Linked DNA regions of Sus scrofa. The protein of the gene in region 5 binds, or shares a complex with, the protein of the main gene of each other region. Links are inferred from orthologs where the notes say so. Each region holds a gene or a part of one and is shown on either strand. Other genes may lie near its edges. The genes, in order: TADA3, TADA2A, KAT2A, KAT14, DR1, MBIP and SGF29.

Region 1 (4,280 bases), on a different chromosome or scaffold from region 5:
TTCGATCCCTGGACTTGCTCAGTGGGTTAGGGATCTGGTATTGCCGTGACATGTGGTGTAGGTTGCAAGTGTGGCTTGGATCTCGCGTTGCTGTAGTGTAGGCTGGTAGCTGCAGCTCTGATTCAACCCCTGGCCTGGGAACTTCCATATGCCATAGGCGTAGTCCTAACAAAACAAAACCCAACCAACCAACCAAACAACAACAAAAAAAACCCAAAACAAAAAACAAAAACAGAGTACTCTGTCTCTTCAACAAGATTATAAGCTGTTAGAGACACAGAGGTTCATTTTAAACATCTCTGTTCCCCCGCATCTGGCATAGCACCTGGCATACAGGGCTCAGAGAATGCTTATGCCATAAATAGAAATCATCAGAAGTATACCAATAAATAACATTTGACATGCTTACTTAGTATCAGGTGTTGTGCTGAGCCTTTGTGAAAAGTCTTCAAATCCTCACAAAAGCTCTGAGGGAGGTCCTATTATCCAGCCCACTTTGCAGATGGAGAACTGATCCTCAGAACTAGGAGGTAACTTGTGCAAAGTCACATAGCTGGCAAACAGCAACGCTGGCAAGTGCTTGGGCCAGGATGCAAATCCAGGCCTCCTCATTCCAGTTACCTCAGTACTCCTAACCACAACAGCACATCAGTTGGTACTTGTGTGCCCTCCTCCTCCCTTCATTCATTCTTTTTAGGGCCACACCTGTGGCATATAGAGGTTCCCAGGCTAGAGGTTGAATCAGAGCTGCAGCTGCTGGCTTATGACACAACTACGGCAATGCCAGAACCAGACTACGTTTGTGACCTACATTACAGCCCATGGCAATGTCAGATCCTTCACCCACTGAGCGAGGCCAGGGATTGAACCCAAATCTTCATGGATACTACATGGGTTCATTACCACTGAGCCTCAATGGTAACTCCCTCCTCCTCTCTTTAGTTGGCAAGCTCCCTCAAGGCCCAAATTGTCCTCACTACCTCTCTAATGATGAGCACAGGATCCAGAACATTGTGGGGAGTGGGGGTCAATAGATGCTTAGTGGATTAGAAATCCTGAAATTTATGAGGATCATGCACATTCCTACTTTGATTTTTTTTTTTTAGGGCCACACCTGTAGCATATGGAGGTTCCCATGCTAGGGGTCAAATCGGAGCTGTAGCCTCTGGCCTATGCCACAGCCATGCCAGATCTGAGCCTCGTCTGCAACCTACACCATAGCTCATGGCAACACCGGATCTTTAACCCACTGAGCGAGGTCAGGGATTGAACCTGCGTCCTCACAGATGCTAGTCAGCTTCGTTTCCACTTAGCCACGACAGAACTCCTCCTGCATACTTTACACGTCACATAAGCCCAGTTTGGGTTTCTCTTCCCCCCACTATGCTCCCATACCTCAGGCCTCAGCAGAGAGGGCTAGCTACCTCAGTGACCCATGCCACAACCTGTCACAGTCCATCCCTGGTGTCCCTCTGTGGGGTATCACCTGGGTTTCAGCCTCGAGCACCCGCAGGCGTCGGCTGGCAGAGGAAAGCAAGGTCTCAAGCTCCAGCTGCAGAGTGTCCAGCTCCTCAATACCGATGCCATCATCCTCAGAGCGGGCCAACACTGCTGTGTAGCGGGGACAGACTTTCAGGTGGTCCACAGACTTGAAGTCATGGAACTGCAAGGGGCAGTCCTTCAGCTCACTCATGGCCCAGGATAGGGGACCCTGTGGAGCTGGAGAGAACGGACCACTGATGGGGGGACAAGTGGCACAAGAAAAGACCAAGAGCTCCTTCTATTCAGACAGCCTCAAGAAGAAAGCCAGGCTTCAGTATCCTACTAAGGCTGAAGTCACAGTTCCTATTTGTAAAGCACCTACTGTGCACCAAGCTAGATGCAGACATTTTACTGGCTTCTCATTAAATTCCTCACATAACCCCGTGACTCATGGTGATCTCCATTTTACGGATGAGAAAACTGAGACTGTTAGAGTGGGTACATGTTCATGCTTATCAACACGCAATCTGAATTCAGGTAGTTTTAAGTCTGTGCCTCTAACCACAGTTATACTGTGCCTGTCCTTCTGATGCTCTTCCCTTCAGCTCCACTCTTCCAGAGTTCTGCTAAACTCCAGAATTCCAAGTATTCCATACTTACGTTAACGTTCTTTGTGCCTCCCAGCCTCTCCTAGTTTCACCCTCCCCACCTTTTCCCTATTTGCCCCAGATAGTAAGGAATGTGAACTGCTAAACTAGATACATCAGGATTCAAGCTCTGGCTTGACCAGCCTCTATTTATATAGCCCTGAACATGTTAATTATCTCTCGAGTCTCAGTTTTTCTATCCGTAAAATGGGACAAAAGACACCTGAGCTTGTTTCCCCATAAGAAGTTTGAATCTATAAAACGGGGATAGTAATAGTACCTACCTCCCTGGGATGATCTGAGGATTAAAAGATGATGCCCGTCAAGAGCCCAGTTCAGTGCCTGGCACAGAAAAAGTGGGACTGGTTAATGACTGGCCCCACCCATGGATAGCCCCAGTGTCCCGCCTTCTGGGTCCCAGACCTTTACCGCGGACACCCTACCGCGGCCCCCGCCCCCTCTACCTCCTCCTAGCCGCCTCCTACTGCCCCCGGGCCGCGGGTGGGGGCGGGGAGTTCCGGTCGGTGAGAGCTACCGCCCCGGAACTGACTAGGGGCTGGCCCCCAGCAGTGCACGCGGGGGCGGAAAGACGCGAGGACCAGCCCCTGGGTCTTTCGAGGGTGGGAGTTTGCCGGCAGCGAGTGAGCCCGCTGCTAGTGGGGTGGAGAGAATAAGCCTCGGGCGTACCCTCGGGAACAGCCCGGCGCCTGGGGGCGGGGCTCGGCGGCCGGGTTCTCCGCTTGGCAGTTAGTCCCGCTGAGCCCCGAGGGCTGCAGGTAGGAGGGGCCCGGAGAAAGGATGGGGGCACAGAACCGGAAGGATCGAAGAGCTCCCCCGGCTCGCCTTGTCCTAATATGGTGCCCAACCTGAGGCTGGGCTGCACCACTGCATGGCTGTGAGGGAAGATGGCAGCAAAGACGACAAGAAGGCCAAAGTCACAAGCGAGAGCCTCACCGATGACGGGAGAAGCTTGAGTAGTGATTTCAAACTTCAGGAATCTAAAACTACCACGGCAGTCCTAGCGGGAAAACTTCCGAAGTGCCAAGTGTTTTTAGCTTCTCCCTCCCCCGCTCGGGACATAGATGGTACAGTCCGGACGTCCGGGCGGAGACTGCGGCTGCGCTTCTCGCGAAAGGGCAGGCGTCGCGGGGCTGGCCACTTCCGTACTTCCGCTTTCCGGCCCAGCCAGCGCCCGCGATGGTGAGAGAGAGCCGGGACCCGGGCCAGGGACCCCCACTGTTCTGTCCTCAGGCTCTGGGTTTGGGGGAGATGCGGCTTTGCAGCGGAGAGGCGCTGAGCCGTGGGGTGCTGGGGGTGCGGGGGCACCATGAGGTTGGGAGGAGGGAGGGGCGGGGGCCGAAGTGAGAAAGGAGCGAGCGGGGGACGCCCTCCTAAGAAGCAGGCCTTTCGGCTTCATAGTCTGGGTTTTGAAGCAGGTGGGAGATACTGAATCAGAGAGGAAGCTGGGAGTGGGTGCTCCTAGGTATGGTAGCACGTCGGAGGCACGTAGTAGGCCCCGTAGCCCTTAGTAGGGCCGCTGAGGCTTGTAATAGGGCCACCTCCCCAACCAGTGCAGACCTTCACTAAATATGCACCCCCCTCTTGCCCTCTTGACCCCATGGTTCTCTGAGGGAGAGCGTTCTCTGTGGAACTTCCTTATCCCAGTCTTCATGTTGCCCCAGCTGTGCTTCTACCTCCCAGACCGCTTCCTGGTCGGAACTCAACCGTATCAGTCTTACTATAGAATGTAAGCTCTGATACTGCTGATTCCTTCCTCCTTGGAAATCCTCTCATTTGATAACTGGCTGTTCATAGCAATTTAGACTCACTAGCTTCCTCTTTACACTCTCCCTGGTGGTGCTACCTATTTAACATACAGGTCTTCATGACCGTCTGCATTCTGGTAACTCCTAAATCTGCTGGTCTAGCCCTCTTTCATGGTTCACCTGGAAGTGTTGAAGACACCTTGAAATTAGACTTCCAGGCCGTAACTCCTCTTTCCCTAAACTTGCTTGTCCTCTTGTGTTTGTCTTCTGGCTTTGTGTTTTCATAACCTCAGTTAGAAACCTGGGATATTCTAATTGAAGCCATGCCTTTTGCTTTTCTTAAACATCAGATTTGTTGAGGTATTACACCAGAATGCGTCATCGT
Region 2 (3,500 bases), on a different chromosome or scaffold from region 5:
GCTGCTCTGCTATGGAACAGGCTTCCCTGTCACATCCACAGAGGGGATGAGTGCCTTACCCTAAAGCCTCAGAAAGGAAGCCCACAGTCATTCCGTGCCTCACCCAAGTGACCAGAGGCTGGGTTAGATCAGGGATCCAGGCTGCCTACTCTGCGTTGCCTTGGGATCAAACAGAGTATGAAGGGAAGCAAGGGATCTCCCAGCTTAATGCAGGGACCAAGGAAAGCTAACACCCGCCCAGGAAGTACAAAGAGTGAGGGTGACTGGTTCAAAAAACACAAATGCCAAAGGTGCACGGTCATGTTTGCTCATTTTTCTTTTGTCTTTTTAGGGCCTTGTCTGTGGCACATGGAGGTTCCTAGGCTAGGGGCCGAATCGGAGCTGTAGCTGCTGGCGTACACCACAGCCACAGCAACACAGGATCTGAGCCGCATCTGCGACCTACACCACAGCTCACGGCAATGCCGGATCCTCAACCCACTGAGCAAGGTCAGGGATTGAACTTGCGTCCTCATGGATGCTAGTCAGATTTGTTTCCATTGAGCCATGACAGAAACATCCCTTCTTCATTCATTTTAATTAGCCAATATTAAATTATCTGTATTTCTGTATTTAGACTGAGGGGAGGGGTGGATGTAAGAAACATATAAAATAAAACTTGGATTTAACTGTTTTGGTTATTCCCTAAAAGACTCTCTTTTAATTACTTGAAACAAAAGGGTAAAAAAAAAAAAAAAAAAAAAAAATCCCTAAAGTGGCCTTTTCTGAGCCCTGTCTAGATCCTGAATCTGAGAGATTTTGAATGGGATCACAAGGTCTGTTGTTCCAACCTTTCAAAAAATGGTAAAACTACAAGTGGGTCAACTTCTGACAAGGGCAGTCTGTCCTCAGTGGAGTGGTCGGCATGTTCAGACTGGGGGACATGGCTAATCTACTATTTGGGGCAGGGGTGAACGATAACCATGAAAACGGGCAGAGAAATAGCACAATCTTGGACCAGAGCTCTACAACTAACACCCCCTTAAACTACCATCCACTGATTACCAGGCACCAAGGATTATCAGACAGCATTTGGCTTAATCCTGCTCTGTACACTAACCTCAAAATAGGACATACCCCAAGAGGTAAAGATAAGAAATACCTTAAGTTTCCAACTTATAAAGAAAATCTTTCTTTTCTGGCAAGTAGCCTGCCCCTTTGCTCACATAAGACAGAGCCTTTAATTGATCCCCTGTGAGACAAATGTCAAAATCTGTGGCAGACAGAACCACAGTAACTAACTGCCCACGAACAATGATAAAATAGAGAAAACACCTGTCTGGAGTTCTTTCTTTCCCTGTCTTTGCAGTCCAAACCTGAGGAAAGGCCCTGTTTGACAATGAAGATTCTAAAATCTTGCTGACGTTCATAAACCAGGATACCACACTTAATCCCCACTCCTCTGCCCAAGCAGCTGGCAGCTCCCACAAAAGCAGAAGGGATTGCTGGGTCACCCTAATTCCCTAGAATGAAAACTTCACAATCAAGGCTTGTTCCAGCCTGAAACATAATTACCTGAATTCGAAGCCATTGGAACAGAAGGACTCAGGCCAGAATCACTACAATGAAGAAGAGGAATTTAAACTTACGTCACATCAAAGAAAGCAATTTCCAAAAGCCCACATGAGACTGAGTGACATTTATTGGGTCAGTTACTCCGAAGAGAAGTAATGAGACAGACGGCTATGCTCTCCAGGATACCTCAACTGAACTACCCAGGAAAGGAAATCGCTCGGATTTGCCAAGAAGACGACCTCTTGGCCTGGCCCATCACGGAGGCCACTCATGGGGAAGGAACAGAAACATGATTCTCCGATGAAAATCATACCAATAAATATAGAGGGAGAAAGAAGGCATGGGGAGAGAATTTACTAATTAAAAAATTAGTTCCCTTGCGGCCCAGCAAGTTAAGGATCCGGCATTGCCGCACCTGCGGCCCAGGCCGCAAATGCACTGCGGGCGGGTTGGATCCCTGGCCTGGGCGTTTCCACATGTCATGGATGGGGAGGGGAGAATCAAAGCAGCAAAGTGGGATTCTAGGAGGCCAGTTATGTTTCTCAAAACTGTCAGTACCATGCTGTTTCTGAGAACTGCTAATATGTTCTGAATTCTGCTAGCTACCCAATTAGGACTGCTCTGCTCTGTCAATTTACAAGAAGAAGGAGGAAATGCTGAAGATCATTCCAACAACAAAGAAATGTCTGAAAATGCAGGGAAGGCCAAAACATCCAAGGGGCTGCTCCTTCACCCGGCGTTAAGCCCTCACATGTCAGCCTGCCGGCGGAGCCACTGCTGGCAGGCACTGCTGTCCTGGATGTACTGGAGGACTTCGGAGAGCATGGTACGTTTGAGGCGCTCCTCTTCTCGGGTCTTCTTGAGGTGATCATAGGTTCTGGCACCTGGAGGTATGAAAAAAACCACCACCACGGTGACCACAATGACAACGGAGCAGAACTAACTGAAGGGCTTCCTAACTGATCAGCAAAGTCTGTCTTTTTAAAATTTCCTTTGCAAAACTGCTTCCACGATTGTTTTCCTAAGAGCAAAGTGATTTCCCCTAGTTTGAAATCCCTTTTCTGACAAGAAATGAAAATATCTTCCTTTTCTACCTTTAAGGGATTTGGGAGGGGGAGGAAAAAAACCCAAACAGAAAAGCACAAAGAGTTGCTTATATCCCTCAAAAAGTAACTTTTAATATTGTCATCTTTACTTCCTGTTCTGTTTTTTCTATCCATGTATTTTGGCGAGTCACACAAGTGCTATATATGTACCCTTCCTTAAAAACCACTCAGAATTACAAATAAAAGCAAACCCTCATTGACCAGTACTATCCTTCCCCCTCTTTCCCAGAGGCAACCAGTATCAGGTAACCAAAACGTGGTATCAGAGTCTTTATATGCATCTTGCTCAACAGCTGCATAGTGTTTTTCATACATTACAAAGGAACACAGGATCCAAAGGACCACACCAGTGGGTTTTCAACCACGTCCCACAGAGCCCCAGGATCCCGTGAACGTCTCTCAGGGATTACTGGGAAGACCACGAGCACCTCCCCATCCTGGTGGTCCTGGGTTCCACACAGGACCTGAACCATCAGACGTCAACCAAAGCAGTCCCATTTTTATCTTATTTACGGATGGGACCTCCACATAAAATTTCATTTTATAAACAGCTTCCATCATTAAAAATAAAGAGCCACTATAGGAGGCCAAACTTACACCCATAGGACCACTTCTTGTGGGCAGCGGGTGACAACTGTCAATTTACAAGAAGAAGGAGGAAATGCTGAAGATCATTCCAACAACAACAAAACAACAGAAACTGCCATTTATGGAGGCTTTACTGTGTGCCAGGTACTGTGCTATGTTTCCATGCATTATCTCTAATCTTCCTATTAACTGCAAGAGACTTGGAAACTGAACGAACAGAATTACAGATGTGGCGAACAGAGTTATAGCTCT
Region 3 (4,205 bases), on a different chromosome or scaffold from region 5:
TCTTGAACTGGGTAGCTGCGAGCCAGGTTTAAAATCAAAGGAAGGGAGTTCCTGCCGTGGCTCAGTGGTTAATGAACCCGACTAGTACCCATGAGGACACAGGTTCAATCCCTGGCCCCGCTCAGTGGATTAAGGATCCAGTGTTGCCGTGAGCTGTGGTGCAGGTCGCAGACGCGGCTGGGATCTAGCGTTGCTGTGGCCATGGTGTAGGCCAGTAGCTGCAGACCCCTAGCCTGGGAATTTCCATGTGCCTTGGGTTCGGCCCTAAAAAGACAAAAATAAATACATGAGATCAAGTAAGATAGAATAAAATGAAGGGAAGGTGTGGCAGAAGAGTAAATCTCCCAGGAAGGACTAGTGCAGGGTGGAAGTCGGTTTCACAGGTGTAAGTTCTGGTTTCTTAGAGTGCTGTGGTGAGGATTCTGAGCTGCATCCATGCCCCATGGGAAACAATTAGTCACGTCCATCGGGAGGTGGGTGGGGACAGTATCAGCACCTGGGCCATGCACCTGCCATCCCCAGACCAAGACGTGAAAGGGGAAATAGCTAGCGAGTGGCATCTGGGCCGTGGGTAAGTCGTCAGCCAGAGGCCCAGATCCCAGAAGGCTCATGGAGAGAAAAGAGAGACCAACCCAGGAAGTCTTCCTGGAAAAAGCGGGGGCCACAGGGAGGATGCGAACACGGTGCAAGATCCTGATAGGCCAGAACAAACCTTACTTGGGGAAGTGGGTGAGGATGAGGGTCCTCTTCTCAGGCACCAGCTTGTCCTTCTCCACCCGGAACTTCTCCAGCAGCTGTCGCCGGGTGACGGTGAAGATGGAGCGGAGAAGGCTTCGCCCAAAGACGTGAGTGGTCTCGTACCGGGGGAGGCTGTCGCAGCTCTGGGGCACATGGCAGTAACAGAGCCATCTGTGGTGGTGGTGGGGAGTGGGTTGCTGAGTGAGAGCAGACACCTACAAGCCTCCCCTGCGCCGTCCCTGGCTGGACCTACCTGGTATAATTGACCTTGTAGGTAGCCACGTCCTCGGCCTGAGACCTCTGCCGGAATTGGGCGGGCGTCTCAAGCTTCCAGTAGTTAAGGCAGAGCAGGAACATCTTCGAGAGCTCAAACATCGTCTGCCGCTCCCGGGGAGCCAGGTGACTAAACTTGTACTGCACAAAGTTCAGCACACCCTGAGGAGGTGGGGGCGAGCGGGGGACAAAACAGGGGAGGAGGCGTGAGCCACTGGCAGGGACTTCTGATCCAGAAGTAGGGGGGTGCTTCCTGAGGGCAGAGCGCAAGGCTCTCTGGGGCTCCGGCTCTGGAGGGCCTTCTCTGAGAAATCACACCTCCTCCCACCTTCACACCCACCCTGAAGTTAGCGCAAGGCCTCTTCCTTTCTCTGAACCTGTCCCCTGTCCCCAGCTTGGCTCCCCACTCCTCCATTATACCTCCAACCATCTTACCACCTTCCTTGTCCCACCTGCTCGATATTAGGCTTCTCAAAAGGGGGGCTGCCCAGGGATCCCTCCACCACGGGCCGGGTCATCTGCAGGATGCACTTCCGCAGGAGCTGGAGGAAGAGGAAGAGGGAGGAGTAGAAGTCAGCGGAGCACAGAAAGGCAGACCCCCCCCACCCTCCCTCCTCTGCCCACTCACACTCTTCCTTCAAGGAAGCTCACCTTGAAGAGGTAGAAATAGACCTGCTTGGTGTCCGTGTCCTCCTCCTTATGAACAGACATGAACAGATTCTCCACATCTACCACCATCCCCAGCAGCCGGTTAATCTCATCCTCTGACACATTCTCCAGGTGGGACACGTGGTCAGCTGTAAGGACAAGTGGTGGTTGTGGAAAACTGATAGAAGGGATCGACAGGGCTTCCTGCTCCTCTTCACCACCAGCCAAGACGCATCCTCAGTCCCTCCGACCAGGGTGACCGGCAATGAGACTGCGGGCTCCTGTGTCAGCCCTGGGTGGTCTCTCTTCTGGACTGAGAGATCTCCTTTCTCCTCCCAACCCAATGCCTCCTCAGGAAGCATCTCGGATCTCTCAAAGATGAAGTTGTGTGGCACTTAAGTCATCCTGTCCAAGCAGGACCCAAGACCTCCACCCCCACCCCAGTTCCAAGGGTACTGCCTTACCCAAGGGGTGCTCACAGCTACGGCACAGCTCGCTCAGGTTGGCAGCTGGCTGCTGCAGGTCCATGCGGGGTGCAGTGGGGGGCTTGGGGTTTTTCCAGCCATTGCACTTGCAGGTTTCATTGGCCTGGAGACAGAAGGATCCGTCAATAACCCTGTAACCCCGGGACGAGAAGCGCTCCCCAATCAGAGCTTTGCCCCCTTGCCCACCCGAGCCCTGGGATGCCCCAAGCCCCGCCCCCTCTCGCCCCAGGCCCCGCCCCCACCTTGCAAGCCGAGAAGACCCCTAGCTTCTCAAGCTTCTTGGCGCGCGGCAGCCCCCGGACTTGCGCTTTCCTCTGGCTGGCGCGCTGCTGCTGGCTCAGGCCAGGGCGAGCCGGATCACCCCCGCTCCCGGTACCCCCACTTCCTACCCCGGGCCCCCCAGTCCCTGTGCTCCCGGCTGGGGCTGCAGCTGGGGCGGGGGCTGGTGCCGGAGTGGGAGCCGGAGTCGGGGCCGAAGCAGGGCTGAGAGCAGGAGTCGGAGTTGGGGCGGGGGCTGGGGACTGAAGGGGACGCGGCTGAGCGGCTGGGGCCGGGGTCGAGGCCTGGGAAGGTTCCGCCATGGCCTCCCCCGCTGCGGAGCGCGGCGCGGCGCGGCGCTCCCAGCCCTAGGGCCGCATGGGCAACCGGCGTTCGGTGCGCAGGCGTCGCTACCTTGGAGCATGATGGGAGTTGTAGTCTTTTCACAGCCGCTCTTCGCCTCCAGCTTCCAGACTTTTCTGTCCTCTTTCTTAAATCCGGGACAGCCAAGTGAGGCCCTACCTAGCACCCCAGATGGACTCCTCTAAACTTGTAATCTCTACGGAAGGCTTCCAAGATAGTCTAGATTGCTGTCCTGGTGGGAACAGGGAGAAGCATCCCACAAAGCAGGCTTCTCCGGGGTCTCGCCTCCCAAGCCCGGGAGAGAAGGTGTAGACCTGGAGGGCCTAGAGTCGCTTCGGCTTCTTGCCTCGCTCCCTCCCGTCCCCACACTGACCCTGTCCCGCGTACCTCCGGACGCGGACCTGCAGCTGGGGTGGCGATTAAATAGCAACAATACTATTTCTTGACCTGTGGAGGGGTTACACGAGTGTGTGTTCTCTTTGTGCATTTTTCTGTTTTACTTCAACAAAAAAAGGCTTATCATAAAAGCACTGAGGGCCAGAATAATGGCTGTGGCCCCTCAAAAAACTGCAGAGGTGGGGATGAGGTAGAGGCAGAGGAGGGCCTATGGGTGTGGCTCTCCTCTCACACCGTGGGCACTGGTGCCAGAGCCCAGCTCTGCGCCTGCCACCAGTAGGCCCAGGGTCAGATGAATGAAGGAAACCAGGAAGGTGCGTCCACCTTCCAAACCCTATGTGTCGCAGGATTGTGCATGGTCAGAGATCGGAAGGACATTCCTAGAATGGATGACCCTGTAGTCACACTCTGATGCTCTGTTCAGAGGGCAGGCCCCGCTTGCCCCCAGGCCGGATTCTCGCAAGGGCATGAGCCGGGCGGCTCAATCTCATCTCTGCTCGTGCTGCTGACGGCTCCAGGGTGGGGCTCACAGGCCGCCGGCCTCTTTTGGCCTATCCGTTTGGGTCACAGCCCCGGCAGGCCAGGGCCCTCTGACGGAGTTGGGGAAGGGCCCGAGCAAGGGGCAGGATCCGGGATAAAAGCAGCCGCGGAGGCGTCAGAGCGGTTGCCAACCTGACTCGTGGAGCTATGTGCATAGCTGATCCCAAATTCCGCGGAAGCGAAACTTGCCGGAAGCCAGGGGAGCCCCCTCAACAGAGCAGGCGCCGCGGGAGCGGGAGTGCAGCCGTTCCGGCCCGAGGCCCCCGCTCCCGGGGGCCCCCACGCCCTAGCCGAGCGCTACATTCGGAGCCTCGCGCTCTTCACCAGCAGTTGCTCTCTCGGATGCAGCGGGTCAGTAGCGGTCTCCCCAACGGGAGCCAGTCAGCTTCCCGATGTGCCAGCGTTGCCTTCACTGAACAGAACCAGGTGGCCACCCTGCCAGTGCAGCAGCTCACGGACGATGTGGCAGCTATGCGGGACAACGTCCATGCGGAGGATGGCTTC
Region 4 (3,500 bases), on a different chromosome or scaffold from region 5:
CCTAGCTGGGGATGTGCAGTGAGTTAAGACAGAGGAGGTCCCTGCACTTAGGGGGTGACATCCTGAGCAAGGAGGTGATAGTACTAGTCAGCTAACAAGGTGAGCGCCGTGGGGAACAGAGGGGTGGTTGGTGCCTTTCTATGGAGGTGACGTTCAAACCTTCTTCTGATCCACAAGGTGGAGCCAGCCTGAGAGGGTTCAGGGCAGGAGGCCCTGAGGTGGGAGAGTTGGCTGGGACTTCTGATGGCAAAGGAAACGGGTGGTGGTGGGAGATGAGCCGATCCTGCAGGTATGGGAAAAGGGTTTGAGTTGTATTCAGAATACATAGCAGGAAGCCACATAGGAGTTTCAGCAGAGTTTATGAGTTTGTTTGTTTTTTGTTTTTTGGTTTTTTTTTGCTCTTTAGGGCCAAACCAGTGGCATATGGAAGTTCCCAGGCTAGGGGTCAAATTGGAGCTATAGCTGCCAGCCTATGTATGTCACAGCCACAGCAATGCCAGAGCTGAGCCTCATCTGTAGTCTATATCACAGCTCACCGCAACACCAGATCCTTAACCCTCTAGGCGAGGTCAGTGATTGAACCTGCATCCTCATGGATAGTAGTCAGGTTTGTTTCCACTGAGCCATAATAGGAACTCCCTGTGAGTTTTTAAAAGGAGAACCCGGCTTTGTGGGGGGTGGGAAACATGGCAGCAGGGAGCCCGGTTGGGAGAGGAGGGGTGGTCCAGGTGGAAGTCGAGGGTAGGTAGCCCAGCGTGGAAGCAGCGGGAAATGGAAGGACCTGGCCTGGGATGGTGTAACAGCCACAGGGCTTCACAAACTCACTGACATGTTTACCTGACACTATTTCATGGCTCAGTGGCTGGCATTTGGGTAATCTGTGGCTGCATCACAGATCACCCCAAAACTTAGTGGCTTTAAACAGTAAGTGTTTGATTCTTCTGAGCCTATGGGTTGATTGGGCTCAGCTGGGTGTTTCTTCTGCCTGATGTGCTAAGGGAAGGGCCATGCTTGTGTCTCCACTCAGCTGGGACCTGGGTCTGGGTGGAATGGCCAGGATGGGCCTCTCCTGTTCCAGAGCCTAGCTCCATGTGACCTCTGGTTCTTTAGTGGTCTGGTCTGGATAACGTGGCCTCTGGACTCAAGAGGAGCAAAAGTGAAAGCTGGCTCCCTTACAGCCTGGGCCGAGAAGTCCCAGAATGTTACCTGGGCCACATTCTGATTGGTCAAGCCTGGCCCAGGCCCACCAGATTCCAGAGAGGGGACCATGATTCCACCTTTTGATAGGAGGAGACATGTGTACCTGCAGGCACGGAAGGAAGCATGGGGCCGTATTTGGAAACTATGCTGCAGCTTGGAATTTCACTGCGAAACTTATTATAAAGTCCTGGAAGAAGTTCATGAGTGGCCTTTGAAAGTTTTGGTGTCCAGTTTGGGAAAGTAACGAGAGCACATTCTTAAAGAAGGAATTCTTGCTCTTCCAACAGGGTTATTTTCTAGGTTAAGAGCAAGCTGATTCTACAAAAACAACTCAGGTTTCTAAACTTCATCCAACCCTTGGCAAAGCACTTCATAAATGTGCCTTTTAATCTTCCATCCGAGCGCTTTGCTGTAAAACCCTAATTGTCCGTGTTCTGTTATGACATGACCGAGGGCCCTGGAGCAGCACTGTCTGGAGAGCAGATGTCTACAGCTGTTCTTTTGGGATGCCCTCCTGAGGAACAGGAGCCAGGTCCTCACGGACCCTCTGGTTGGGCCTCTCAGCTGTCATGGTGTGTTTTAGGGATGAAGATCTACATCAGTTCCACTCCGTCAGGTTTACTCAGTAGAGACAGATTTGAATAAATCCGTATACAGTACAGACACAGCAGTAACTGGCCCCATGCCTCTTGAGGTAACAGAGGCCATTGTGAGACATCAGCCCCGTGTGTGTTACCTATTCGATTCTCAGCCCGGTTGATATTTGATGAGTGGATTAAAGGTACAGTGTAGACAAAATGAATCCTGGAGAAGCAGTAAATCCAGTGGTCATTTGTGTATGTCACCTGTTTAAATGTCTTTTAAAGTTGTTTACATAACTAACATTTAAAAAATTATTATTATTTTTTTGCTTTTTAGGGCCGCACTCATGGCATGGAAGTTCCCAGGCTAGGGGTCTAATCGGAGCTACAGCTGCCAGCCTACACCACAGTCACAGCAACATGGGATCTGAGCCACCTCTGCAACCTTCACCACAGTTCACGGCAACCCTGGATCCTTAACCCATTGAGCAAGGCCAGGGATCGAACCTGCAACCTCATGGTTCCTAGTCAGACTTGTTTCTGCTGAGCCACAACGGGAACTCCAAAAGTTATTTTGCTTTTAAACTGGTATAACTGGGGAGTTCCCGTCGTGGCGCAGTGGTTAACGAATCCGACTAGGAACCATGAGGTTTCGGGTTCGGTCCCTGCCCTTGCTCAGTGGGTTAACGATCCGACGTTGCCGTGAGCTGTGGTGTAGGTTGCAGACGTGGCTCTGGCGTAGGCCAGTGGCTACAGCTCCGATTAGACCCCTAGCCTGGAAACCTCCATATGCCGCAGGAGCGGCCCAAAGAAATAGCAAAAAGACAAAAAAATAAAAAAATAAAAATAAACTGGTATAACTGGGATTAATTTTCAGTTATAATTTTATGCAAATTACCTTTGAACTTTGTATTAAAACTTGAGCTTTCCAATTAATGCAAAAAGACCTACTTTCTGATACATAAAAATGTCACAAGTACTGCTTATCTGTGAGAATTAAACCAGTCCTTTAAGTAATTTTATTTTTGTGTAACTAGTATGTGTTTCTCATAGACTGCCTTGCCATCCAGGAAGGGATTTCGGCACCAGACCAGTAAGTTTTTGTACCGTTTGGTGGGATCAGAAGATATGGCTGTGGACCAGAGTATTGTCAGCCCTTATACTTCTCGAATCCTGAAACCTTACATCAGGTACATGGAGTGTGTCATGGGGAATAATGTTTGTGGGTTTTGAGCCCCCATTGGAGTGAATAAAGACCAAAGCCTGATGTCCAGTCTCATCCTTGGCTTGTTTTAATTGTACTCCTGTGCAGAAAGGATGATCCTTTGAAGGAAACATAAAAGACAAAGTTTAAGTTCTTGGTTCACAGTTGCCCCTGCTGAGCACACTTGCTCTGCAGTCAAGTCATGTGGTCCTGCTCGCCCAGCACTGCCCTCCCTGGCAGACACGTGGAGGCAGCCTGCGTCACTGCCCCAGTCCCCAGCTGCCCTGGCAGGGTTGGCCCTATCTTTCCTGGGCTCTGTCCTGGGTCAGAGCATTCAGAGGGTTGAATTAGGATGCTGTTTCCTTTCCCCACTGTGTTTGTTAAGGCTCGCCAGCACCAGGTAGAATTCCTGGCCAGTATCGAGGGGTTTGGTCTGACTAATGTTAATAGAGTGAATTTAAAAGTATTGTAGCTGTTAAGCTGGCTGCCATATAAAGTAGGGCAAATTAATTTAA
Region 5 (4,288 bases):
AGACTCTTCACTCACAATTTCCAGATTCAGGACCCAACCTTGACTTTGGGCTAATGAAACGGATTTTGGACTTCTGATCTTCGGGACTGCAAGAAAATACATTTGTGTTGTTTTAAAAAACCAAGTTTGTGGTATTTTATAACTGTGGCATCAGGAAGTCAACATAATCACAAACACAATGACAAACAAAAAAGAGTACATTACGTATGATAGCATTTACATAAAATAAAAGAATAGCAAAATTGATTTTAGAAGTCAGAACAGTAATTATTTCTGGGGAGGAAGAAAACAGCATTAAGACAGGGCAAAAAGGAGGGCTTCTGGGATATTCATAACACTGTTTCTTAATCTGAGGGCAGGCAAAATAAGTATGTTTAATTTCTGAAACCTTTATTTGTGTACTCTTCTAAATGTATGGCGTAATTTTAAAAAATCGATGGCTTTTCAACACTTATTAATCTGATAGTCTGCTGGAAAAAAAGACATAAATTCAAGGAAGTGGGGAAAATACTTACTAAACAATAACTTTATTTCTCAAGAACCCTAAAGATTTTGTTTCTCTCTCCAAAAGAGTTTAAAAATTCAACAACATAAAGAATATAATAGTGACTTTTAACTACTAAAAATTAAGCTAAAAGTAAAACACTGCTTAATTAGCTTTGTTATGCCTGCATCCTAGGACTGTAAATTACAAAAATACAAGTAAAACCACATTTTCTGAAGTAACGGTAAACAAAGGAGAAGGTCAAATACTACATACCAAATGATCAAAATGTCTCTTGGACCTAAAATTCTTGAAACTAGTAAAAATGGTAATAAAAGAAATTTCATGCCATTAATCTGTATAGATCATTAAATATAAAAACAATTTATAAAACACATCAGATTTTATTGCTTGAAGAATACAGCATATGAAATCACAAGGATGTCAAAATGAAAAGTCACTAGAATTCAAACATATAATACATTATCAGATGCAGTAAAATATTAATTAACCTGAACTCTGCATCAGGAAAAAAAAAGTATGGAAAACTGCCTAAGTTATTTAAGAAACAGATATACTTAAAACAGAAAGTATAAGGATGTTACAGTACAAATTAGAAAAGTCAACACTTATTAACTTATTTCTTAGACTAGACTACCTTTGGTACTTAAACTTTAAAAAAAAAAAAATCCCTTCTATCTTGTCCAAAAGCACTTCATGGATACAATATCAACTTCAACTCAAAACATTCAGCAAGATTCACCTATCTGTGGCATGGAAGAAGTGTATTTAATACATATATGACAATATTTCACTTTTTCTAAAACTGTAAAATATGATTAAGAAATCTAATACATGTAAACTCTTCAATTTATTTTATTAGCTCTTCAATTAAAATTGAAATCCTGGAAGCTTCAATCTATCTTTAGGCTTGGTGAATATAGAAATTTAAATGTTTGGCAAATGTTACATAGAAATTTTGATTACTTCATACTATCTTAAGTGGTTTTTCCATTCTGTTTCCAAAATGCAAATAATAGGCCATTTCTTCAACACCCTGGATTTCTATAAAAATCACTACCATACTTTATTTATTGGAACCAAATTAAAGCTTTTCCCTTTTAACAAGCAGTTCAAAATTAGGGCTGATCAATTAGGACACACTTCCTTACACAAAACAAAACCAATCATTTTTAAAGGATCACTCAATTATGATGGAGACAATGATGCCATTTCAAAAGGAAGCATTGGACACACTAGGTCATCTAGTCAAGAAATCGTAAAAGTAATGTTAAAAACAAACGAGTAAACTATAACTACAAGTTTAATTACAAAAAAAAAATCCCTCTTTTATAGCAAGCATGCTCATTAACTTTCGTTTCTTTCCCCCAGCAAATGTCTGAATATTTATGAACTTCAGTTAAACCAACGGAACCTAAGCAACTGTTTCACGAGTTCCAATAAACATGGATGGGCTAAGCAAGTAATACTATTAATAATTATTGAAGTGAAATACTAAGAATCATGACAGTCCTCAAAATAGGGCAGTCTATGAAATGTAATAGTGTAGCTCAGGATGAATTATTCCATAGTAAAACTGTAGTTTTTACTTCTACATAAAACAAAATCAAAGTCAAAAACATAACCTACCAAATTTTACAACTACTATTAAACATACTCCTTCCCAGCTTTTGAATGCCTTGTTTTGAGATTTTTTTTAAACAAGTATATTTACCCGAGCAGAAGTGTTTATTGCCTGCATATATACTCCTTTTAAAGACCAAAAATCCCGATACTACAGAACCGAACTCTTTTGTCACCAACCTGACCCGATGTCTACTGCATCACAAAGCACCTCCACCCTCAGTCATGAACAACTACAGATTTTCAGTGTAGCTAAAAGGGCAGAGGAAATGCAAACGCAGATTTAGAATTTCTGTATAAATTTCACTGTATTTTTATAAACTTGAAGTTTTCTGTAACACTGTTTTATTGACCAAATAAAGGACTCACCGCTATCTAAAATTTCATAAACACTATTAAAAATTCAAAATTGATATTATACTGAATCTTAAATTTTCAATAGTTCAAAGAGACAGTTTTTACATCAACAGCACACAACAGATGAAACTTAACGGCAGACATCCCTAGAATACCAATGGCAAGTCCACCAAGAAGCATACAAAATTACAGATAAGCATTTCGTTCACTGTTTTCTTGTGCAAGGAAAAACATTTATAGAGGAAATAGAAACTCAGCTGGTGAATTTCAGATATCGTCATCATCTTCTTCATCCTGAGAAGATCCTGCCTGGTTGGATGCACTTGCTGAGGCAGCAGCAATCTGTGCTTGCTGGGCAGCTTGCTGCATTTGAAGCCATTCCTGTTGGGCCAATTCTGCTTGTTGCTGTCTAGCCTAAACACCAAAAACATCACACACACAAAAGTTAAAAAAAACCTACAATACGCACACTTTGTGTATTAAGCCAACCATAAACTTAGTCATTATCAAATGTGTATACCTCCCAAACACTACACAGTTGTACATTAGGACAACATAAATTCTCTAAGAAAATATAATTAGAGATTGCTTCTCTGACAACTCTTTTTTTTGGGGGGGTGGGTATCTGGCTGCATCTGCGGCATACGGAAGTTCCTGGGTCAGGGATTAAACCCACTCCGCACCAGCAAATGAAGCCACTGCAGTGACCACACCAGATCCTTACCCACTGCGCCAGAGGAGAACTCCCTCCCTGTCAACTTTTTTTTTCTTTTAGGGCCACACTTGTGCAGCATATGTAAGTTGCCAAGCCAGGGGTCAAATTGGAAGCCTCATCCTTAACCCAGTGAGCAGGGCCAGGGATTGAACCCGCATCCTCGTGGACATTAGTTGGATTTGCTATCACTGAGCCACAATGGGAACTCCTCTGTCAACTCTCTTAAGGAGAGTTTTCAAGTTTCCATAAAAGCTCCTTTTTATGCTACATAATGGTTCAACTGAAGAACTTTAAAAAGTTTACAGAAAAACAATATTCTCCCTTTAATTCCTTTTTCACGTGTTTCTCTTGATTCTTCTGTCTTAATTTACAATTCTTTTTTTTTTTTTTCCTTTTTAGGGCCACATCCACAGCATATGGACACTCCCAGGCTAGGAGTTGAATCCAAGCTGTAGCTGCTGGCCTACACCATAGCTCATGGCAACACCAGATCCTTAACCCAATGAGCGAGGCCAAGGATCAAACCCACGTCCTCATGGGTACTAGCCAGATTTGTTTCCACTGAGCCGCAACAGGAACAACTACAATTTTGACATAAATATTTTCCATCTAGGAGTTCCCATCGTGGTGCAGTAGAAATGAATCTGACTAGGAACCATGAGGTTGTGGGTTTGATCCCTGGCCTCGCTCAGTGGGTTAAGGATCTGGCGTTGCTGTGAGCTGTGGTGTAGGTCGCAGATGTGGCTCGGATCTGGCATTGCTGTGGCTGTGGTGCAGACCGGCAGCTATACTCCAACTGACCCCTAGCCTGGGAATCTCCATATGCCGCAGGTGGGACCTTAAAAAGCAAATAAGTAAATAAAATAAACATTTTCCATCTAAAAATTATTTCTGTAGTTTGAAAGTTCTCTAGTACTCTACCTCTAACTGTTAGGGGAAAAGGACTAAATGTAAAGGCAATAGCTACCGTGACTATTTAAGTTTCTATCACAGTTCTGTATCCTATACTTCTCTCTTCCTCTATCCCTCTCTTCCATCTCTATAAATATATCTGTGCACTCACGCACGCGCGCGCGCGCGCACACACA
Region 6 (3,500 bases), on a different chromosome or scaffold from region 5:
TTTATGTCACGATAAAACCAGTCTGTCATGAGGACTATAGTGTCTTATGGCTTTTTCCTTTCTCTCATAGCACATACGTTTGCTGTTTTTCATCAGATTTTCCTTTCCTCTCAACGTGATGCTATACTATATTTACAGGTCCGCAGGTATGCTGCAGAATGCAAAATTGCAAAGCACTGGTAGCATAGATCATATTCAGGCATCATAGTAATAATCAGAACAAGTAGTTCTTAGAAAAATTATGGAGAAGAGTTCTAATTGGAATGAACAATTTTCTTGTTGCCTCTAATATTTCTTGGCTAATTATTATGAACACAGAATTGTCAGATGAACCTAGAATTGACAGTGTATCACGTTCGTAGACTGATTCTCCTCATAATGGAATAATACAGGCTCAGGATGGGTCCTAAATTTAGCTTTTTCTACTGTTAACATTATACATGCATATCACTAGATTTGGTATATTTTACTGTTAGCTTTTCAGAACAGGTGCAGCAGTGGCAAAATCCCAGGTACTGCAATCCAACTGCAAGCAGCCCATGAGAAAGGGTTTGTTGAAGAAGCAAGCGCATGTGTCACTAATGTTATTCCTCTGTTCTCCCTGCTAACTCTATTATTATAAACCACCAGGGGATAGAAATTGACAAGAATTGAAATGCTCAGCAGGATTCCTTGGCCCATTCAATCCCTTGCTGGCTCCAAACAGTGCTAGGAAGAATTGCTGTGGAGAGTGACTAGCACTCATACATTCACTATCTTCACACCATGCTGAATTTCTCTCTAATGGGTCAGTTAATCTATATATTTGGAATATAGCTCTGGAATGGATGATAGCTTCTTTTTTTAACCCTTAGCCCCATGAAATGGCAGGAAGAGAATGGAGAGGTGATGGCCCTTTAAACATATTTTGTGGTATCTCAAAAAAAAAAAAAAGAAAATGACTCTGTCTAGTATCTATATATAAAAGATAAGTGAATTTGGAATTTTATTCACACAATTTGATGTGTCAGCAGAACTGTCTTAGGAAACTTAGACTGAAAAAATTGAGATGTTATGTGCTAGTGTGCTCCTTTTAATACTTCTCAGTTGGTGTATATGTAAACAATTTTTTAGAAAATCAAATTCTATAAAGAAAAAATTTTCTTTCAGTATCTCTTTTTACCATCCATTTTTTAGTATAAAATAATCAAGGAGAATTTTTTCAGAAAATTTGCTACAATGCATGCTTTTACTTAACATCATTTTGAAGATTATTTTATATATGAAATGTTTATATATTATGTTAACATCACTCCAGCTTTGTCTCTTGGTTTGTGATTTATATGTCGATACCCAATATGAAAGAAGCTATGCTTTTCAACCTAGGAAAAATTTGGAACAAATTTTCACATATTATCTTTCTTAAAATTGCATTTTTTGAAAGGGGCAGGCTGAAAAGTGATAAATAGCTTTTGTGATTAGGGATTTTTAAAATGGGCATTGGAAATCTAGATAGTGTAAAGGTATGTTTTTTCATAGTATTCTGAAATGAAGATGTGTTGAATATGTAATCCATTTTATTAGATGTTCATTAGTTTGATCAGTAAGTAATAACAAAAATGCTCTATTTTTGAAAAAGACATTTCAGTAACGATAATGAGTTTTGTTTATTTCTATGTTGAAATAACATGAATAATGTCTCTGGCTTATTTTAACTCTCTGTAGTATATAAATTGTTTTCTCCAAATGTCCAGGTGGTTTTTAGGGAGATTGGTATTGATTAAAAATTATATTGAATTATGCCACCAAATATTGAGGATTTTTCTGTATATAAATCTGGAAATTAGATGAGATTATATATTACAAATTTTAGAAGGTAAAGATAACTAAATTGATAGTAATTTAATTACTATTATTTAAAATTATATTCTTTGATTATGAGTAATATGTTAATATGCATTATTGGAGGGTTATCAAAATCTCACACATTTTTAAGAATATATTTTAACTTTACATTCATCTAAATTCTCCTAGAAAATAGTTGTGCGAGAACTGATGCCGTTTTTACTCCTTACCCTGGATTTAAAAGTCATGTAAAAGGTAAGTATTTACTGTGTAATATCTTCATCACTGACAAAGCTTATTCTAGATTATAAGCAAAATGGAATAAAAATCACTTTCCTATCTAAATTTTATTTATTTTAAAACAAAGCAAAAAATCTTGCCTTTCTTCATACTTGGTTTGTGGTTATAAAAAGAACACAACGTACCGTTAGAATTTCTGATTTTTGAAATGTAAGTTTAATAGGCTCAAAAATTTCTTAACTTAGTTTCTAGAGTTGTGAATACATATGGACCACAGACTAGACCTGAAGGAATTCAAGGATCAGGTCATAAACCTAACAGCATGCTCCGGGATTGTGGTAATCAGGCTGTGGAAGAACGACTGCAAAATATTGAGGCTCACTTGCGGTTGCAGACAGGTAAGCAGAGTGCTGGGCAGTGTCCTATAATGTACCTTTGCAGATGGTTAAAGAAATTCTGATTCATTTAGTAACAGATTTTCGTTGAGCCCCTGTCATATACAAAACATCATACTGGTTAGTACAGAAAGGAAGGAAACATAGTCCCTGCTCTCAAGTAGTTAACAGTTTCATGTGTGTATGTTCTTCCTTCTCTTAACACTTCTCAACAATTTGAGAGTGGTAGTATAATGGGAACAAATTCCAAATAGATCCTGACACTCTCAGTTTATTAAAGTCATGGCCGAAAACTAATATAGTCTTTTTCCTGTCATCAGTTTCATAACTTAACCATGACCATCTCTCATTCTTAGCACCCACTGTGCTATGTACAAAGTATTAATAGTGTAATCCTCATCCTTTAAGGTCTCCCAGTGGGGATAAGCATATAAATAAATAAATGCCATAAGGGAAGTGACTGACATTTATTGAATAAGTGCCAGTCACTCTGAAAATACTATACATGTGTCAACTCACTTGATATTTAACCAGTACCACTGTGAGATCTTGCTGCTGTTATCATTGTCAGATAAAGAAATTGCAGTTCAGAGAGCTCAGCAACATGCCTAAGGAGTAAATGGCAACTAGAAATCAAACCTCTATCTTACCTGACTGCAGAGCCTGATTCTCCCTCCCCATTTAGTCACCAGATTTTGTTGATTCTATCTTCTGAATATCTGCAAAAAGCACAGAGGCACAAAGTATGATGGTTCAGGGAATTTCTAGAGTCCAGTCTGGCTGGTGTATTTGTGAATGGAGGTAGAAGAGAATGAGTACATCTTTGAGGATAGTTAGAATGAGCTTTAAAATTAATCCCCTCTCCCAAAACTAGATGAATTTAAAATACAACTGTTTAACAGGATTGACTGCTTTATTAAATCTAATAGAATCAAGATGGTAATTTTGAAAAGTATCCATTGAATGCCTACTATAGGCCAAGCACTGTTTTAGATAGGAGGGATACTGAGATGATGTAGTCACATTTGGTGGTTTCAAAGA
Region 7 (3,947 bases), on a different chromosome or scaffold from region 5:
CCAGAAAGTTAATCTCTAAAACTATGGATGCTAATAGACCTACCCACTGAGAACAGGGTGCCTTGTGGTGGGGGAGGTATTCATAAAAACGGACACTGAGGTGTACAAAACACTCTCAAGGCACTGCTTCAGATCCTGAATGGCACCTCTCAAACAGCCTTCTCTACTGACCTTACCCTACGATACCCATATTGAAATACTCAGGGCCCCTGCCTCAAACAAGCAGACCTGTATGTTTCAGTTATGTCTGCCCTTCGATCCTTCTCCATTTTTGCCTCTGGATCTCTCAAATTTACTCATTTTTTCAGGGCCCAAATCAAATGGCAGCAAAATTCACACTTTTTCAGCACTACCTGCCAAGCTTTTCCACACCAGGGCACACAGAGAACACGACAGTATTTGTATGGCATACTACGGTACAAGGACAAAGCTGCTCCTAGCCAGAAACAACTGGCAGGGAGATGTGGCTGTCTCAGGCCCCTCTAATCTGCCCTGATGCCATGGGCAATCAGAACTTCCAGAAACTTCTAAAGCACCGGACACAAACATCTGTTCCTGCATTTGTCACACATGCACCCAGAGACTACCATATTGTTTGTCTCTCCTGCCACACCAAGATCTCTGAAAAGAGAGAGATGCACTTTTATTCATCTTTATATTCCCAGCAATTAGCACAGGGCCTGGCACCTACTAAGTCCTCAAAAGCAAGTGCAGAACTGAACTGAATCCTGGAAATTTTTTTTTTTTTAACACCATACTTGTAACCTGCAGAGGGATCCAACCTGAGCCACGGCAATGACAGTACCAGTTCCTTAAATACTAGGCCACCAGGGTACTCCCTGGAGGCCTCCTAAAACGGTCTTTGAACTTAGAAACACTGCAACAGTTCTGAAGCTGGACTGTTCAGTATCTTCTCCCTGATCCTGGAAAACAAATCAGTTCCTGTTAACATGCTCTGAAGAGAGACTGTCTGAGTTCCCAGTGGGTTAAGAATCGGACTACAGGGAGCTCCCTTTGTGGCTCAGTGGCAACACAAGACTAGTATCCATGAGCACTCAGGTTTGATCCCTAGCCTTGCTCAATGGGTTAAGGATCTGGCATTGCCATGGGCTGTGGCATAGGCTGGCACCTGAAATTGCAATTTGATCCCTAGTCCAGGAACTTTCATATGACACACCTGCTGCCCTAAAAAGCAAATAAATAAACAATAATCTGACTGCAGCAGCTCAGGTTGCTGCCAAGGTGCTGGTTCTATCTCCAGCCCAGAGCCATGAGTTAAAAGATCCTGTTTAGCTGGCAGTTGCAGCTCAGATTTGATCCCTGGCCTGGGAACTTAGGAATGCTGTGGGTGTGGCCACATAAACAAGTATATAAACAGATAAACATGTACTGACTGATGGAGAAAGAGGACAGAGGGGAAGCAAAAGACATCTAGTATAACTCAAGGTGTTTGAAAAATTGGAAAACTGAAGAAGGTGAATGGTAAAACTCAAAATTTCAGGTAGAGCAATGAGTTGAGGACAAGAATTTGAGAGTTAAACACAAGAGATGGTATTTAGGAGCTCCCGCCGTAGCTCAGTGGTTAACAAAACCGACTAGGAACCATGAAATTGCCGGTTCAGTCCCTGCCCTTGCTCAGTGGGTGAAGGATCCGGCGTTGCCGTGAGCTGTGGTGTAGGTCGAAGACGCGGCTCGGATCCCACGTTTGCTGTGGCTCTGGCGTAGACCGGTGGCTACAGCTCTGATTAGACCGCTAGCCTGGGAACCTCCATATGCCACGGGAGCGGCCCAAGAAATGGCAAAAAGACAAAAAAAAAAAAAAAAGAGAGAGTATTTAAAGCCTAGGAAACAGCACAGAAAAGAGATCAAAGATGAGGCTGTGGGGCAGTACAACCAACCACTGAGGGTAAGTTAGAGCAAGAATCAGCAGAGGAGAAACCAGAAAGAGCTGAAGCTGAAGACGAGAATGTTCCGCATAGCAAATGAAGCACGCATTTCCATTTCAGTGGAGGGGTGAGAGCCAAGGCCTTACTGGAGTGTGTTTGAAGGAGAAAAGGGGCTAATGAGTAGAGAATGAAGTTTTGGCTGCAGTGAAATAGAAAGCACCTGGAGGAATATGAAGAATGAGGTTGTTAAACTAAGCACACCTTCAGCAAATAATGAAAGCTGCCAAAGTGCGGGCCCCATCCTCTGCCCTTGTTCTCTCGCACCTGGGGTGCGTACCCACCCCTCCCAGCCACGGAGCCAAGCTCCACGTGCAGCGGCTTCCCACCCTCTTCCAGCCGGCGAGCGCAGGCGCAGTCAGTTACCAGAGAAGGTCGGCGCCAGCCCTCCCTCCCAGCGCCCCGCCTCTCCCGGTCCAGGGCGCGTGCGCACTGCCTCTCAAGAGCTGCCTCAGCGACGCCCGAGAACAGGGACCCCCCGGCCCTCCGCTCCCGCCATTCTCCGAGCGGGGGTGCGGGGAGCCAAGCAGTGCCTCAGACCACGACGTATACCCACCTACAGAACCACGGGTGGAATAAGCAAGTCGCGCTGGAAACTGCGACGGCGGGAGCAGGCGCGTCTTCCCTCGAATGCCTTTCAGAGTCTGCGGATAACAACGCGCTCACGTTCGAAGATTCGCGGCGGCTCAAGAACCACGCACGCTTTTTCCCTTTTATGAGCAGCGCGAGACCCTCTCTACGCGTGCGCTGTCTTCCTCTCTACGCGTGCGCTCTCTTCCCGTGCCGCGCTGCTCCTTGGGAAATGTAGTTTTTACTTGGACACAGAGTTTCCGCCTCTTCAGCTGAACCTTGTTTTAACCAACCAGAGCGTGTTTTCAGTATCCACTCCTATTACCAAAACCTCGATGAAACAATAAAAAAATTTTTAAACGAGCAGATTGTTGATTGAAGGGGGAGCAGTGGGCATATGAGAACTCTGTACTTGTTCCTTCAATTTTGCTGGAAAGCTAAAACTGCTTCAAAAATTAAAGTTCATTTAAAAAATGTTAAAAATAAATAGAAATAAGCAGATCTGTAAACCCAGATATCATTCTTTTAGAGAGTATTGTCAGGAACATATTGTCATTGTGAGCAAATGTTTAACCACAACGGTTTACATCCTAGTATCTTGTAATCTCTTACATAACCCATACCAAATTTTACGTTTGTTTGGTACACTTGCCTGCTCAGGGAGGTTAGGATCCACTGTTTTATTCACCTATATACACCCATAGTGGCTGGTATATAATAAGCGTTCTATTTTTTAAAATTCATATTAGAGTCTTAGACTTCAACACAAACCATTTCAGCCCAAAACTTAATGCAACATTTTTTACCATCAAACTTACTCTTCTTTCTGTGGTCTCTCAGTAAGTTGCATGACCATCTACCCAGTCTCAGTTCTATATCCTGCGTTTTATGGGGTTTACAGAAGCAAGGAGTTCGCATTTTCGTGTTTATTGAAGTCTCAGGAGTTCCCGTAGTGGCGCAGCTGAAATTAATCTGACTAGCATCTGTGAAGACACAGGTTTGATCCCTGGCCTTGCTCAGTGGGTTAAGGGTCAGGCATTGCCATGAGCTGTGGTGTAGCGGCTCTGATCCTGTGTTGCTGTGGCTGTGGTGTAGGTCAGCAGCTGTAGCTCCAATTGGACCCCTAGCCTGGGAACATCCATGTGCCGCGGGAGAAGCCATAAAATAAAATTTTTTAAAAAAATGAAGTCTCAGAAGCTATTTCTCCTGAATGGCAAATGTCAATTTTATTTTCTCCTCAAGGGAGATTTGGGGCTCGTTTTGGGGCGGGGGTGTCTGTGCCATGGCATGTGGAAGTTTCCCAGCCAGGGATCCAACCTGCACCACAGCTGTAACCTGAGGCATAGCAGTGACAACACTGGATCCTTAACCCACTGAACAAGAGGGAACTCCTGGGGCTCAATTTTTTTGTTTGTTTGAATTTATCTTTAATTT

Evidence for each region.
Region 1: DR1 (region 5) and TADA3 share a complex: the UniProt entries of both Homo sapiens proteins name them as parts of the ADA2A-containing complex. The link is inferred for Sus scrofa from reciprocal best matches to the Homo sapiens genes DR1 and TADA3.
Region 2: DR1 (region 5) and TADA2A share a complex: the UniProt entries of both Homo sapiens proteins name them as parts of the ADA2A-containing complex. The link is inferred for Sus scrofa from reciprocal best matches to the Homo sapiens genes DR1 and TADA2A.
Region 3: DR1 (region 5) and KAT2A share a complex: the UniProt entries of both Homo sapiens proteins name them as parts of the ADA2A-containing complex. The link is inferred for Sus scrofa from reciprocal best matches to the Homo sapiens genes DR1 and KAT2A.
Region 4: DR1 (region 5) and KAT14 share a complex: the UniProt entries of both Homo sapiens proteins name them as parts of the ADA2A-containing complex. The link is inferred for Sus scrofa from reciprocal best matches to the Homo sapiens genes DR1 and KAT14.
Region 6: DR1 (region 5) and MBIP share a complex: the UniProt entries of both Homo sapiens proteins name them as parts of the ADA2A-containing complex. The link is inferred for Sus scrofa from reciprocal best matches to the Homo sapiens genes DR1 and MBIP.
Region 7: DR1 (region 5) and SGF29 share a complex: the UniProt entries of both Homo sapiens proteins name them as parts of the ADA2A-containing complex. The link is inferred for Sus scrofa from reciprocal best matches to the Homo sapiens genes DR1 and SGF29.

Annotation. Positions count from the first base shown.
Region 1 is NC_010455.5:66,077,173-66,081,452, forward strand, and holds the start of TADA3 (transcriptional adapter 3), read right to left. Parts: upstream 2,801-4,280; 5' UTR 2,594-2,800; intron 2,472-2,593; 5' UTR 2,414-2,471; intron 1,720-2,413; 5' UTR 1,694-1,719; coding exon 1,487-1,693; intron 1-1,486. Other genes in the region: ARPC4 (actin-related protein 2/3 complex subunit 4), read left to right, coding at 3,019-3,329. UniProt on the Homo sapiens protein: Functions as a component of the PCAF complex. The PCAF complex is capable of efficiently acetylating histones in a nucleosomal context. The PCAF complex could be considered as the human version of the yeast SAGA complex.
Region 2 is NC_010454.4:38,920,156-38,923,655, reverse strand, and holds part of TADA2A (transcriptional adapter 2-alpha), read right to left. Parts: intron 2,439-3,500; coding exon 2,306-2,438; intron 1,599-2,305; coding exon 1,555-1,598; intron 1-1,554. UniProt on the Homo sapiens protein: Component of the ATAC complex, a complex with histone acetyltransferase activity on histones H3 and H4. Required for the function of some acidic activation domains, which activate transcription from a distant site. Binds double-stranded DNA.
Region 3 is NC_010454.4:20,637,088-20,641,292, reverse strand, and holds the start of KAT2A (histone acetyltransferase KAT2A), read right to left. Parts: upstream 2,801-4,205; 5' UTR 2,726-2,800; coding exon 2,387-2,725; intron 2,248-2,386; coding exon 2,124-2,247; intron 1,809-2,123; coding exon 1,663-1,808; intron 1,554-1,662; coding exon 1,464-1,553; intron 1,174-1,463; coding exon 992-1,173; intron 910-991; coding exon 718-909; intron 1-717. Other genes in the region: HSPB9 (heat shock protein beta-9), read left to right, coding at 3,849-4,205. UniProt on the Homo sapiens protein: Protein lysine acyltransferase that can act as a acetyltransferase, glutaryltransferase, succinyltransferase or malonyltransferase, depending on the context.
Region 4 is NC_010459.5:26,512,457-26,515,956, forward strand, and holds part of KAT14 (cysteine-rich protein 2-binding protein), read left to right. Parts: intron 1-2,834; coding exon 2,835-2,971; intron 2,972-3,500. UniProt on the Homo sapiens protein: Component of the ATAC complex, a complex with histone acetyltransferase activity on histones H3 and H4. May function as a scaffold for the ATAC complex to promote ATAC complex stability. Has also weak histone acetyltransferase activity toward histone H4.
Region 5 is NC_010446.5:123,814,588-123,818,875, forward strand, and holds the end of DR1 (protein Dr1), read right to left. Parts: intron 2,900-4,288; coding exon 2,753-2,899; 3' UTR 501-2,752; downstream 1-500. UniProt on the Homo sapiens protein: The association of the DR1/DRAP1 heterodimer with TBP results in a functional repression of both activated and basal transcription of class II genes.
Region 6 is NC_010449.5:63,665,723-63,669,222, forward strand, and holds part of MBIP (MAP3K12-binding inhibitory protein 1), read left to right. Parts: intron 1-2,013; coding exon 2,014-2,079; intron 2,080-2,309; coding exon 2,310-2,462; intron 2,463-2,470; exon of another isoform or gene 2,471-2,554; intron 2,555-3,109; exon of another isoform or gene 3,110-3,178; intron 3,179-3,500. UniProt on the Homo sapiens protein: Inhibits the MAP3K12 activity to induce the activation of the JNK/SAPK pathway. Component of the ATAC complex, a complex with histone acetyltransferase activity on histones H3 and H4.
Region 7 is NC_010445.4:18,385,131-18,389,077, forward strand, and holds the start of SGF29 (SAGA-associated factor 29), read right to left. Parts: upstream 2,801-3,947; 5' UTR 2,500-2,800; intron 1-2,499. UniProt on the Homo sapiens protein: Chromatin reader component of some histone acetyltransferase (HAT) SAGA-type complexes like the TFTC-HAT, ATAC or STAGA complexes.